4 separate regions of the Mus musculus genome follow, and regions 2, 3 and 4 are each reported to be linked to region 1. Evidence: microRNA targets listed by miRTarBase, many of them from high-throughput screens and not tested one by one. Region 1 holds a microRNA gene; each other region holds the end of a gene's coding sequence.
What was found. The annotated mature microRNA mmu-miR-665-3p reads ACCAGGAGGCUGAGGUCCCU and lies in region 1 at 1,700-1,719, opposite strand. An mRNA with a match to its seed (bases 2 to 7 or 8) in the 3' UTR can be bound and repressed. Matches are read on the target gene's strand: a 7mer-m8 pairs with bases 2 to 8, a 7mer-A1 pairs with bases 2 to 7 and ends in A, and an 8mer does both.

Region 2: the mRNA of Gk5 is a reported target of mmu-miR-665-3p. Seed matches in the 3' UTR shown: 7mer-A1 at 11-17.
Region 3: the mRNA of Cdnf is a reported target of mmu-miR-665-3p. Seed matches in the 3' UTR shown: 7mer-A1 at 669-675.
Region 4: the mRNA of Emc1 is a reported target of mmu-miR-665-3p. Seed matches in the 3' UTR shown: 7mer-A1 at 1,298-1,304, 8mer at 2,137-2,144 and 7mer-m8 at 2,596-2,602.

What each region holds. Positions count from the first base shown.
Region 1 is chr12:109,585,009-109,588,086 of GRCm38, reverse strand. Mir665 (microRNA 665) reads right to left here and starts at 1,773; the gene lies at 1,680-1,773. Mir337 (microRNA 337) reads right to left here and starts at 2,298; the gene lies at 2,202-2,298. Mir3544 (microRNA 3544) reads left to right here and starts at 2,214; the gene lies at 2,214-2,274. Mir540 (microRNA 540) reads right to left here and starts at 2,007; the gene lies at 1,941-2,007. It also overlaps Mir3070a and a transcript of Rtl1 not described here.
Region 2 is chr9:96,178,897-96,181,974 of GRCm38, reverse strand. Gk5 (glycerol kinase 5 (putative)) reads right to left here. Exons shown (of 16, transcript NM_001368879.1): 16 at 1-3,054. The coding sequence ends at 2,906. Among named protein-coding and RNA genes, the nearest start is that of Tfdp2, 16 kb to the left of the region's middle.
Region 3 is chr2:3,523,363-3,526,440 of GRCm38, reverse strand. It overlaps Cdnf (cerebral dopamine neurotrophic factor), which reads right to left. Exons shown (of 4, transcript NM_177647.4): 4 at 65-2,630. The coding sequence ends at 2,452. Among named protein-coding and RNA genes, the nearest start is that of Cdnf, 12 kb to the right of the region's middle.
Region 4 is chr4:139,375,291-139,378,368 of GRCm38, forward strand. It overlaps Emc1 (ER membrane protein complex subunit 1), which reads left to right. Exons shown (of 24, transcript NM_146157.4): 24 at 56-3,078. The coding sequence ends at 235. Among named protein-coding and RNA genes, the nearest start is that of Ubr4, 3.8 kb to the right of the region's middle.

The DNA.
Region 1 (3,078 bases):
GCCCCCTCCAGCCTGCACTGGGGTCACTGTGTCCTTATGGGTCCTAAGGGGCCTCATGACAAGGAATCTACCCCTGACGGTAGCACCAGGAGATCATGGATAGGATCCCAGGTTCAAGGTCAGGGGCTCAGCCTCACTCAGCACTTCCTCCTGTTCCTAAGGAGCGTCCATAACCTTAAGGTGGGACTGGGGTCCTATTGGAGGAGAACAAACGTACCAGTCCTGTACCCTCACTTAGTTTACCTGGGCACCTCCAACAAAACTGGGCCTCAAAACAAAACAAAACAATCCTGTCCCTGCTTGGTGAGGACTTCTCTGGCCCAGTGAATGCAGAGATGACTTAGGTCAGGACTACTGCCAGGGGCCCCAAGGCCCTGAGGGCCCCAAGCAAGTGAGAGTGAAGGAGAACTCAGTGAGCCAGCAGCCCGCCAAGAGGCTGCCAGTGATGTTGACTGCAGAGGTGCGTTTACCCACAGCCCGCACGAACACAGACCATAAAGGACAATAAAGGCCCGCAGGCCTACCAATCTACCCAGCAGGGATTTGTCCCCATTAACAGCAAAAGGAGGTGGTCCGGACTGTGAAGAGAGCTGGTGACGTGCTAAAACGTGCTAAAACGGTAGGTTATCAGGTTATCGGCGGAGCCACTTATAGAGATTGAAAAACACAACACAAACCTTTTTTTTTCTCCTGGGGAAGAGAAAAGAAAAGAAAGAAATTGGTGTGAAAGTTCCTGCTAGGGGATGATAACATCACTTCCAACCCTGTCAAGGTGAAAACCAGAGGCCAGGCCCTGGCTGCAGACTCCACCCACCAAGGAGCTGCCCCCACTTCCCAGCTTCAGTCCCCAACCAGAGAGCTCTGACAGCATCCAGGAACAAAGAGGAGCAGGGGCCCTCCCTTGCCCACCTTCCCTGTCCTCTCCATTGCTTCCCCTTATAAGATGTCCCTGCAGGTACCAGAGCCAGTGACAGCACACACACAGGACCCTGAGTCCAGAGTTTTACCAGCTCCTCACCAGGCTGGAGCAGAGATCTCCACATGCCTGGGTAACCTGGGCTAACTTGGGCTACCCCCATAGTAAGAAAAGGAAAAGAAAATATTACCCACCCCTCAACTGTCCCATACACCTTAAGCCCTGGTGCTGGGCCCAGGGGACCACATCGTTAGACACGATCTGAGACCTGAGCAGCAAACCTCATCTGGACTTTGATCCACCTGTGTGAGCTGAGAGACACGCATGACCATCTTGCCACCAAGACCGTGCAGGAGCACAAGTAGGAAGAAGGAGATTGGGGGCAGAGGGGGGGACAGGGAAGGGAGAGACAGTGGTGAAGGGGAGGGGGACTGGGTGTGGCCTGGGTCCTCCCTGTCCTGCCCTCAAATCCTTTCACAGCTTCCAGGCTATTCACTCAGGGTGCTCCTGTGTGCCGGGGCTGGCTGCCATAGCTGGTAAATGCAGTTAATAATGGTGGTGTTGTGGGGATGGAGATGGGCCCTGTATGCATGCAATGACCTAGGTATTGGGGTTCAGACTCTACGCCAGCTGCTCATTGTGCTACTGAAGTGTCTGTGGGCACCCGGCCTGGGAGGAGGATGAACAGGGATCTTCTGCACTCCTTAGGGGATCCAGAGTTTGAACTGAATGAGGTGAGACGTCTCCAGAAGGGCTCAAGGAGAGAGTAAGAGGCCGCCTGTAAGGGACCTCAGCCTCCTGGTCATAAAAACATAATCCTGGATAGAGGCAGAGGCCCCTCAAGGAGACCCTGTTCTGGGAGCACTGGTAATGCTCAGCCCTGCCCTGTCTCAGCCCTGTGCCCTGCTCTAGTAACAAAGACCCCATCTCTCAAGGATCCACCCTTTCTGCTAGGAGCTGGGTCCCCTCAGAGGACCTCCAGGAGAGAACGGCTCCTGGAATCCCAGTGGGAGGAGCCCCAGAGTAGGCCCAGGATCGACCTCTGACCTGTCTACCCTTGGCCACAGAGTCAGAGGGTGACCCTTGGCCCAGCCCCAGGGAATGTCCCACCAGGGGTATAGCTCCCCCGCCAAGGAATGATCTCAGGTATGGCCCAGCCCCGGGTATTCCCCTCCAGGAACTGTGGAGAATGGCGAGAAAGCATGCCAGGGGAAAAGAGCGAGCTGAAGACGCGTCCCTAAGCGGCCCAAGGTGCGCGGAGGAGGGTCCGGAGGCCTCACGCGGTTGAAGGGGGTGAAGAAAGGCATCATATAGGAGCTGAATGGCTGTGCAATCAACTCCTGCATGACGCCGTTCCCACCCCCCAACTTCTCACTACACTGGGACCCTCCTCTCCTGAAAAAGCAAGGCAAGAAGCACAGACAACAGGTAGGACAGACTCCCAGGGCTTAGTGTTAGAGGAAGGAAACCAAAGGCCAGCCAGCCCTAGGGCACCTGCAGCACAGTGGAAGCATCTACCCTCCTTGCCCAACCTCACTTCTTATAAACTCTCATGGAGTGACTGGAGCCAATCCAGGGGATGAGGAGGGGGGAGAGGGAGCAGAGGGATGGGAGGGAGAGAGGAGGGGCAAGGGAGCACTGAAGGAGGGGTGGGGAAGCGGAGAGGGAAGGAAGGGTGACTGTGGTCACAGGAGTGTCCTGCTAAGGTCCATCCCGAGTATCCAGTGGGTTCCTCTGCAGACCTAGAAGGGACTCATGGGAACCAGCAGGAGCTTAGACGCCCCAGATGGATCCCCCAAAAAGATGCATGGGTTAAAAGCTACTCAGTGTGGTGAGGGGACAAACTGCAGGTACAGCTAACAACCGCTCCCCAGGTTCTTTGAGTGTCAACTTGAGTTACACTCCTCCATGAATAACTAAAAACCACAAACTGCTTTTGCTTGCCTGTTAGTTTTTTTGTTTGTTTGTTTGTTTTTGAAACAGGATCTGTGTAATCCAGAGTGGATCCCGACTTCTCCATCTTCCTGCCTCAGGCTTCCAAGTGTGGCTATGATTGACAGGCCTCTGTCACCATGGCCAGCTTGAATGGCACATGTGTATCACCTTACATATGAATAAAGTAAAAAAAAAAAATCTTTCCTGACTTGTGCTCTTCTCTTCCT
Region 2 (3,078 bases), not on the chromosome of region 1:
CACAGTGAGTTCCAGGACAGCCAGGGCTACACATTGAGACCCTGTCATAAAAACAAAACAAAGATCAATGCTGACACTGAGAAACCATACCACTGATGAATACAAGAGACTCGAAGATCAGTAAGTCATAGATAATGCAGTTAGTGCCACGTTAAGACAGGAACACTGTCCTTTCTGAGTTTGCTGGAGTCCTCTTAAAATGCCTGGTAGATTTACAAAAGGAAGAGAAAATATGCTGAGAAATATTAGCATATTAGAAATTATTTTCAAGAGGCAGATGAAGGGACAATATTCTTCAACTGTTTTTGATTAACAACTGTTCCTGCGACCTCAAAAGCAAATGACATAACATTTCTGATTTTACTTAATGATTACAAGCATCACTAAGCCCTGTCATTAAAATATGGCCAGAAATGAAAAAAGGAAAAGAGTAGCATCCAGAGCCACGGAGGAAGAAAGAAAGTCGATGTTTCAATCCAGATGACACATTAGGTGTTTTTCACAGTATCTGAAGGGCATTTATCCCTGACTGCACAGCTGTCAGTTAGGAAGAGTGTAGGGAAGGAACGGCAAAGAGACCGTTCATAGTTAACATCACAGTTTAGTCTCTCCTGATACAAAGGGACCGAGTTACATCCTAGGAACCTATCAGCAGAACCTGTAAAAACCTCCACATAAAGCAGTTCTCACAAGATTTATGGGAAACCTGCAACGATGCTGCAGAAGAGAAAGAAAAAGATATTTTCTACCTAAGATCTGGTTTGCTACAGTAAACAAATGCACCTCTAACAAAGACCTTTCCAAGCCTTTTAGACTTTGTAGTATTATTATGGAGGAAGTGTGCACAGCACCATGTACACGTGGAAGTCATAAGAAAACTCTGGAGTCAGTTTTCTTCCTCTACCTGGACACACGTTCCTTCTGGGGATTTAACTCAGGCTGGTAAGCCTGTGTAACAAGTGCTTTTACCTGCTGAGACATCTTGTTGGCTTGTCTCCAAAAGTTAATAGAATAAACGAAGCTACATGTTTGCTATAATGTTGCCATTAAGAAACATTTTTAACAATTGAAGACACTGGGAGCCCAAGAAAATAATTTGCAAAAAAACACAATGTACCTGTTATTCTAGAATAACTGACTCCCAAATGAACATATGACAGAAATATAACATTCCCTCTTAAGAGTTGCTCCTTTAGTGAGGTAATTATGTAGTAGATAGTTCTAGAACAGTAGCACTTTTATGGGATATGGACCAGATGGGGGCAAGTTCATGTACCTCAAGAAAATCCAAATCTCCATGACGTGAGAGGCAACAGAGTTTAGTAAAAGAGGCTGGAGCACTGCCAACCACCCCAGGACAATTTTATACCCAGTCTGAGGCCTCTCTCTACTGACTCCTCCACCTGCTTCCAGCCACGAAGTTTCCTAACAGGGGACTGCTGCTTAGTGGCTGACTGGTTTACAGCCATTGTCACCAAGACACATTCCATCACCTGATCTGCCAGCCTCTGCTATCCCTCAGAGGTGAGCAGGACAAATACCAAAAGTCACATCAAGTAACCCAGAAAGGCAATTCTTAAGTTACTGATAAGCTGGGGTGCTTCAACATAAACTGTGATGTCAGAGTAAGCGCCAACAAACCTGGCACCTCAGGAGACTAAGTCAAGAGGTTCGGGAGTTTTAGGCTAGCCTGAGCTACATAATGAGACTCGGTTGCCAAAACAAACAAACAAACAAACAAACAAAACTAACAATAATTAAACTCTGTGAAGTAGGCACTTTTTAAAAAGGGGACATTTATGCGAGCATTTCAACAAGTCAAGAAAGATAAAGAGCCAGGAAGAAAGGTTTACATTAACTGCTTGCATTTTATAAAAATAGAATGTGACACACAACTCTAGAGACTAAAGTTGGGGGTTCAAGAGTTAGAAACTGGCATGGGCTAAACAGGATCTTCTCTCAAACAAATGAGATATTTTCAAAGACAAGGCCTCACTGTGTCACCCAGATTGCCTGGACTTCACTGCATCGTCTGGACAGGCTCCAAGCTCAAGCTCCCCTGGCCGCAGCCTCGAAAGTCCCCATATTTGCCACCATGCCCAGCCTCAACATCCCTTTCAGTCCACTGAGATGCGTTCCTCAATGTATGCTGAGTGCCCACCCAGGCACGATGGTGCCCGCCTATAATCTTAGAATCTGAGAGATGAGGAAGAAGGTCATGTTTCAGGCTAGCCTGGGCTACGTGGTGACACTGTGCCTCAATGAAAACAACGAAACAGCTCAGGTTGTGCAGAAGAATTAAGGCCGTGTCTTTATGCATGACAAAGGAACGCGTGCGCTGACTAAGGAGGTCACTGAAGAGTGACGTCAGAGCTTATCTGAGGATATGACACTTGACAATTATGGCTTTATATATAAAACGTCCTCTCAACTACCTCTTCGTTTTAGCTATGTGGGTTTCAAAGAGCCCTCTTGATTTCAAATTTAAGAAAACATTTCATCATTTTTAACAAAATGTGACCCGGAACCATTAGGGTAAACAATGACTATGAAGTATGTGCCATTCTCCCTGTATAAAAAAAGAGGACTCACAAGTATCTGAAATGCAGTTAGAAGTGGACAGTGTCCTTTGGAAATCGCCAGAAGAAAGAAGACTCAATTTTGAGGTCTTGCTGCCTAAAAATTTCACTATGATTTGAATTTAAAAAATAAGAAGTATTTTTTTTTGTATGTGAGGTTGTTTTGTTTTGTTTTGTTTTGTTTAAAAGAGCCTGGCTTCTTCTTTCAGCCTGCAAGGCTTGTTTCGAATCTTTTCCTCTCGGCCACAGTCACACGGTGACCCCTGTGCAGCCCCCACCGGCACATCCTGTCCCCCGGCCTGCAGGTTTTCCTTGGCTCCTCGGGGCTACGTCTTGTTATACCAATTCATGGAGCGCTTCACCGCTTTTACCCAGTTTTCCATATTCACCTCGTATTCCTGCCACTTCTTCTGAGGCTTGAAAACCATCTCGCTTTGCCTCAGCTTCTGGAGCTCTTCCTTGTCCGCCCAAAATCCTACAGATGAAAAAAAAAATCTCA
Region 3 (3,078 bases), not on the chromosome of region 1:
TTACCCCAATTGCTTAGCTGAAAATGCATTCCCTTGCACCATTTAAAAATAAACCTTATTCTGTCAATGTATATTTATTATCTGAATTTAAGTTATTCTCTACTCTACAAAAAAGATGGCTATGAGTACATTTGATTATTTAAAAGAACAGTTGCTTTTAATCAATTAATTTTGGGTAATTTTCAAATAGCTCCTACAACTTTTTATGAAATAGAATTGATGTACAATAGAATACCCACATCTTAATTGTACCTCTATATCAATATGATGATCATATCTCTCACCTCCTGCCTTGATAAAGTACAGTCCCATCACCCCAGAAACTTTAAAGAGAATGCTTTCTTGAGTAGCCACACCCTGACCTATTTCCCAAAGGCAACCATTTAACCATGTGCTTCTTATTGATCTATGGACAGAGAATGGAGCTGAAACATTGCCTGCTTCTTAAGACTGATAGGCTAGCATTAGAAACCACAAGCGCCCCTGCTGCCTGCACGTGGGGAGCATGCTTTCATCCTGCCTGACACGGGGCAGTGAAGAAGACTCTGAGCTTGGGTCACGTGGCAATTCAAGGTGGTTACAAGCCGGGCGTGGTGGCGCACGCCTTTAATCCCAGCAGAGGCAGGCGGATTTCTGAGTTTGAGGCCAGCCTGGTCTACAGAGTGAGTTCCAGGACAGCCAGAACTATACAGAGAAATCCTGCTTCAAGAAAACAAAAAAACAAAAAAACAAAAAACAAAAAACAACAACAAAAAAAGGTAGTTATAAATAGGCCAAGCACAGACTTTTTATGGATTGCTGATTTGTATTCTTCCGATCAGTTTTCTTTATATGAGAAACGGAAACTTCCATTCGTGCTGTGCAATGCTTAATCGCCATTGTTAACTTGGTGGAATTTAGAATTGCCTAGGTGACACATACCTCTGGGCACGAGTGGGAGGGCGTTGCTAGAGAGAGTTTAACTGTGGAAGGAAGACCCCATCCTGAATGTGAGCAGTGGCATTCCCGTGCTGGGGTCAGACTGACAGCTAGCAGAGCATCTACTTCCATCTCTGCTTCTAGGACATGGATGAGTTTGACCAATGGCCTCACACTCCTGCTGCCGTGATGAACTGTAATCTCAAACCATGAACTAAATTAACTCCTTTCTCGATTGTTTTTTTAGGTATTTTGTCTCAAGAGCCTATAAAGTAATGAATGCTTCCCTCCTTGCTGTGCAAAAGAGAGAAAATATTTAGAGTGAATGAAGTTTTTTAAAAAATCTATTTTTAAAAAGCAAAATGAAACAAGAACCTTCTGAACTATGTTAGGTGGTTATTGAGATTGAAGTCGCACATTAGATAAGCTATAGTTTCTGTTATGCACTCTTTTTAAAAACCTTGACCAAAGAGATGCCTCTTGTCTCTTTCCTTCCTTAAAATGTATTATCCCATCATATCCATAGCACACTTGAGTCAGTAGTGATAAACTACATTGTCCTTCTGCTGTGCCTTGGATCTGAACTGTCCTCCTCCAGCTCAGTTTTTTGTTTGGTTTGGGTTGTTTGGTTGTTTGGTTGGTTCATTGGTTGGATTTTATTTTAGTGTTTGTCTGTTTGTTTGTTTGTTTGTTTGTTTTTCAAAACAGTGTTTCTCTGTGTGACCCTGGCTGTCCTAGACTCACTTTGTAGACCAGGCTGGCCTCAGACTCACAGAGATCTGCCTCCAGACAGAGTGCTGGCATTAAAGGCATTCACCACCACACCTGGCATCGGTTTGATTTGAAGGTTTGTTCCCTAGCTAGTGGTAATTTGGGGAAACTGTGAGGTGGGTGTCTGACTGACAGAAGTGGATGAATAGGGCTATCCCTTTGAAGGTTACAGCCTTATCATTATTTGGACATCACTTTCTGCCTCTCTATAATCACAACAGCCTCTATGACAAGCTCTTGTCGCCCTGCTCTGAGCTGTGCTGCCCTTAGCTACCCTGCTGTGATGGACCAAATCCCTGAGCCCAAGTGACTCTTCCCTCCCCACACTTGTTTCAGTTACCTGGCAACAGCAAGGTAGCCCAGCCCACTATAAAGGGGGCTGCTTGGCCCTTCCTCTCTCTCTTTAAGCCCTCACCTTTCTTACTCTCATCTCTAGCCCTCTTTCTCTCACTCCCTTCCCCCTCTCTCCATGTGGCCATGGCCAGCCTCTCTCAATAAGCATTATTGTCATAGCAATGCAAAGGCAACCACTGCATCCTCCAAGAAGGATGAGAAAAGCACCTTGAGGTCTCTGTGCTCTGCAATTTTAGCGACCATGAGGAAGCACGGGTTGATCATATGCCTAAACAACACAACTCCACAATACAACAGCAAAACTGACGGCCAACTGGGCAGTCCCTGGTTAGCCCTAACCAGCACACTCTCATCTTAGACAGTCATTTTCTTCTAACTGCAGTCCATGCTTCCTGACAGCCGACGGGGTCAGAGCTCCGTTTGGGGGTATATCTCTACATATTTGGGGGCCAGCTCTCTAATGAGGTTCACGTAGTCACTTTTCTCCGCACATGCCCTGCACTCTTCCCCCCATCTCTGAAGGATCTGCTTTAGCTCTGCCACTCTCATCTTCCACAGGTCCACCGACGCCAAGTCCAGCTTCTTCCCTAAATGCCAAAAAAGAACACACAGTTGAATGACAAACCCAAAATCTCATAAAACTCCATTCCCCTTCAGTGTGAGACAACTCCCTTTCCCATGGGGACCAAGACATACCCAATGAGAATGTGATATCACCAGTCAGCCTGCACCCTGGGTTCTCAGTGCTTAAAGGCTACCAACCATAGACCAACAATATTCAGGGATGAAAATGCCAAATCTGTGTTAAGCATAGACAGAGGTTTTTCTTTTTTCTTTATCTTTTTGTCATAAACCACTTAACAACACAGTATAACAACCATTTGCTGGCTGGCAAGATGGCTGGCTCAGTGGGCGAAGGCACTTGCTACCAAGCCCAAGGATTCTTAGTTGAATCTTCAGTGATTCCACACACTGGAAAGAAGGGACTGACTCCCAAGATTGTTCCCTGACCTTCACATGCTATGCTGGGGCACA
Region 4 (3,078 bases), not on the chromosome of region 1:
TGTGGCTGCTCACTGGCTGTCTTTATCCCCAGTTCTCATTCTAGCTGTCTTTTAGGTTGTGGCCTACGGTTTGGATATTTACCAAACTCGAGTTTACCCGTCCAAGCAGTTTGATGTCCTGAAAGATGACTACGACTATGTGCTCATCAGCAGTGTCCTTTTTGGCCTGGTTTTTGCCACCATGATCACAAAGAGGCTGGCACAGGTGAAACTCCTCAATCGAGCCTGGCGGTAAAATGGGAGCACCGTGCCAGAGTGGAGCCTCGGGAAGAGGGACAGCTAAGGAGATGGCCGTGGACTGTTGGATCCCTGAGGTTGGGCTGGGCTCTTGTCTCACTTACGTCTGGGAGAAGAAGGTGCACCTTCATGGAGAAGTGCTTCGGGAACACGGTGACGAACAGTTCTTGTGGTCAGATACCCACCTCAGCGTGGAGGAGCTCCGTGCATCTGATCCACTCCCTGTTCCCTTTATGTGCTCATTCGTGGATGCTGTGAGCCTTTTGTTTTTGTTTTCTTTTTGTTTTTTTGTTTTTTTTCCTTTCATGAGACCTCTGGTTTCTTTCTTCTGAGACTGTTTAAATTGACCTTAGTTAACCTTCTGTATTTCCAGTCTTACTAGAAATATTCTGACACCTTATTCTCTTGTCTCTTGCTTTCAAGCTTGATGGGCCAGCTCTGGCTTTAAGGTGTGTGTGGCTGCCTGACTGATGGGGTGGATGCAGGAGCCATTCTTAGCCAAGGTCTGAGGACTTCTCTCTCTGAAGAGAAGTTGAAGGATCCATACATGGAGTGAGAACTAATTTTAACCAAGCTGTCATTCCATGCCACCATTTATATGGCTGGGCCATTTCTTTCAGCCTATCAAAGCCAAGCACATAACAGTAATTTGGTTTTTCATCCACAACCTGTGCTTTTTCTCCTGAGCTATAGCAAGGCTAAAATCTTTAATACTTTTCTTTCTTTTTTCTTTTTTTTGTTTTTGTAGACAGGGTTTCTCTGTGTAACTCTGACTGTCCTAGAACTCTCTTTGTAGACCAGGTTGGTCTTGAACTCACAGAGATCTTCCTGCCTCTGCCTCCCAAGTGCTGGGATCTAAGGTGTGTGCCTTAGGGCTAAAGCCTTTTAAAACTAACAGTCTGAGCCTTGGTGAGATCTTGAGGTCCAGTACATCAAATCTATTGTCCCTATAGGCCCCTATAGACATCCTGTAGCACAGCTGGAGGAAAGCAGCTTTGTTAAAACCTTTTTTTTTTTTTTTGGCTTTTCGAGACAGAGTTTCTCTGTATAGCCCTGGCTGTCCTGGAACTCACTTTGTAGACCAGGCTGGCCTCGAACTCAGAAATCCGCCTGCCTCTGTCTCCCAAGTGCTGGGATTAAAAGGCATGCATCACCATGCTTAGCTTTTTTTTTTTTTTTTAAAGACAGAGTTTTGCTCAGTTAGCCCAGGCTGGCCTCAAACTTGCAATCCTCCTGCCTTAGCCTCCCAGTGTTGGGATTGCTGGTGTTGGCCATCATGCTTGGTGGTGGGCAAGTTTTAAATCTCATTGGTATAATTTTCTGCGTGGCATTAGGGGTAGAATCCAAGGTCTCTCATGCCAGGCCAGTTCTCTGCACTGAAGCTCTCCATAAGGTGAGCCACGAGGGCTGTTGTTTTTCTTAGTTTTAAAATCTTAATAATTTTTTTGAGGGGCTGCAAGGAGGATGCTGTGCCTCAAACCCAGGGCCTCATGTGTGTTAGGACACACTTTACTACTACTGAGCTAGAGCCTCAACACATCTAATCTTTTTACTTATTTTATTGAGACAGGATCTCACCATGTAACCATGGCTGGGCTAGAACTAGCTATGTAGTCTAGGGTTGGGCTTCTGTGTGTGGTGTGTATGCACTACTGTTTGGGCTCCTTCTGTGGTGTGTGTATGCACTCCTGTATAGGCTTCTGTGTGGTGTGTGTGCATTCCTGTCTGAGTTTCTGTGTGGGGTGTGTGTGTGTTTTCCTGTTTGGGCTTCTGTGTTAGGTGTGTGTACTCCTGTCTGGGCTTCTGTATGCTGCACAGAAAGAATCCCAAGTTTGACCTTGCTTATGAACTTGGGGACTGCTTGTTCTTTTGAGCAGGGAAGTCAAAGAGTTGACCACGCTCCTGGAATAAAGCTGATGATCGGTGGCTCAGCTTTGTTTTGTGTCTTCAGAGTTCACTTCAAGGCTGCTTTTGATGGGGGGGTGGGGAAGAAAAGCCACACATGGAGGCATACCCCTATAATAGCAGCCACTTGTGGAGGCACACCCCTATAATAGCAGCGCGTGAGAGGTGGAGCAGGGAGAGTCAGAAGTTGAAGGTCATCTTCAGCTACATATTCAGCCTATGCTCTAAGAGACAGTGGTTAGAAGTACCTGTTGCTTTTTCAGCTCCGTCCCTAGTACCCACATTGGGTGCCTCACAAGCACCTGTATCCCCACCTCCAGGAGATCTAGCATCCTTGCCTGGCCTCGGGGTGTGCACATATGCACACACATAGTAACTTAGAAAACAAACAGGAAAAAATGGAGTTATGTAGGGCAAAATACCAACATCTTCATCAGTAATAACCAGTTTCCTCTCCTGGGTTAGTGAGTATCTGACACTTCCAGTGTCAGTCCCTGCCTGGACTGCTGGCTTCGTGGAAAGCCACCTGGGAGAAGGCATTGGAACCCATTACACTTTTCTGCTCTAGTTTTTGTTTTGTTATAAGCTCTCACCTTGTGAATCTGGGAGATGTGCTTGGATTAAAGGCATATATCACTGTACCCCACCTGCTCTAGTCTTGAAATAGAGCAGCTGGAATTTTGTGCAAGATAGATAAGTAACTCTTACCACACTGCCCTGTTTGTTTGTCTTGGTTTTGGTTGCTTTAAGATTTATGAGTGTCTCCCCTGCATCTGCGTGCATGCCTGGTGCCCACGGAGGCCAGAAGATGCTGGATCCCTTGGAACTAGATTTAGGGACAATTGTGACCATGTAGGTCCTGGGAACTGAACTGAGCCCTCTGGAGGAACTGAATGATGTGTCTCTTATAGTGCCTGCTGTGTTTCTACAGTACAG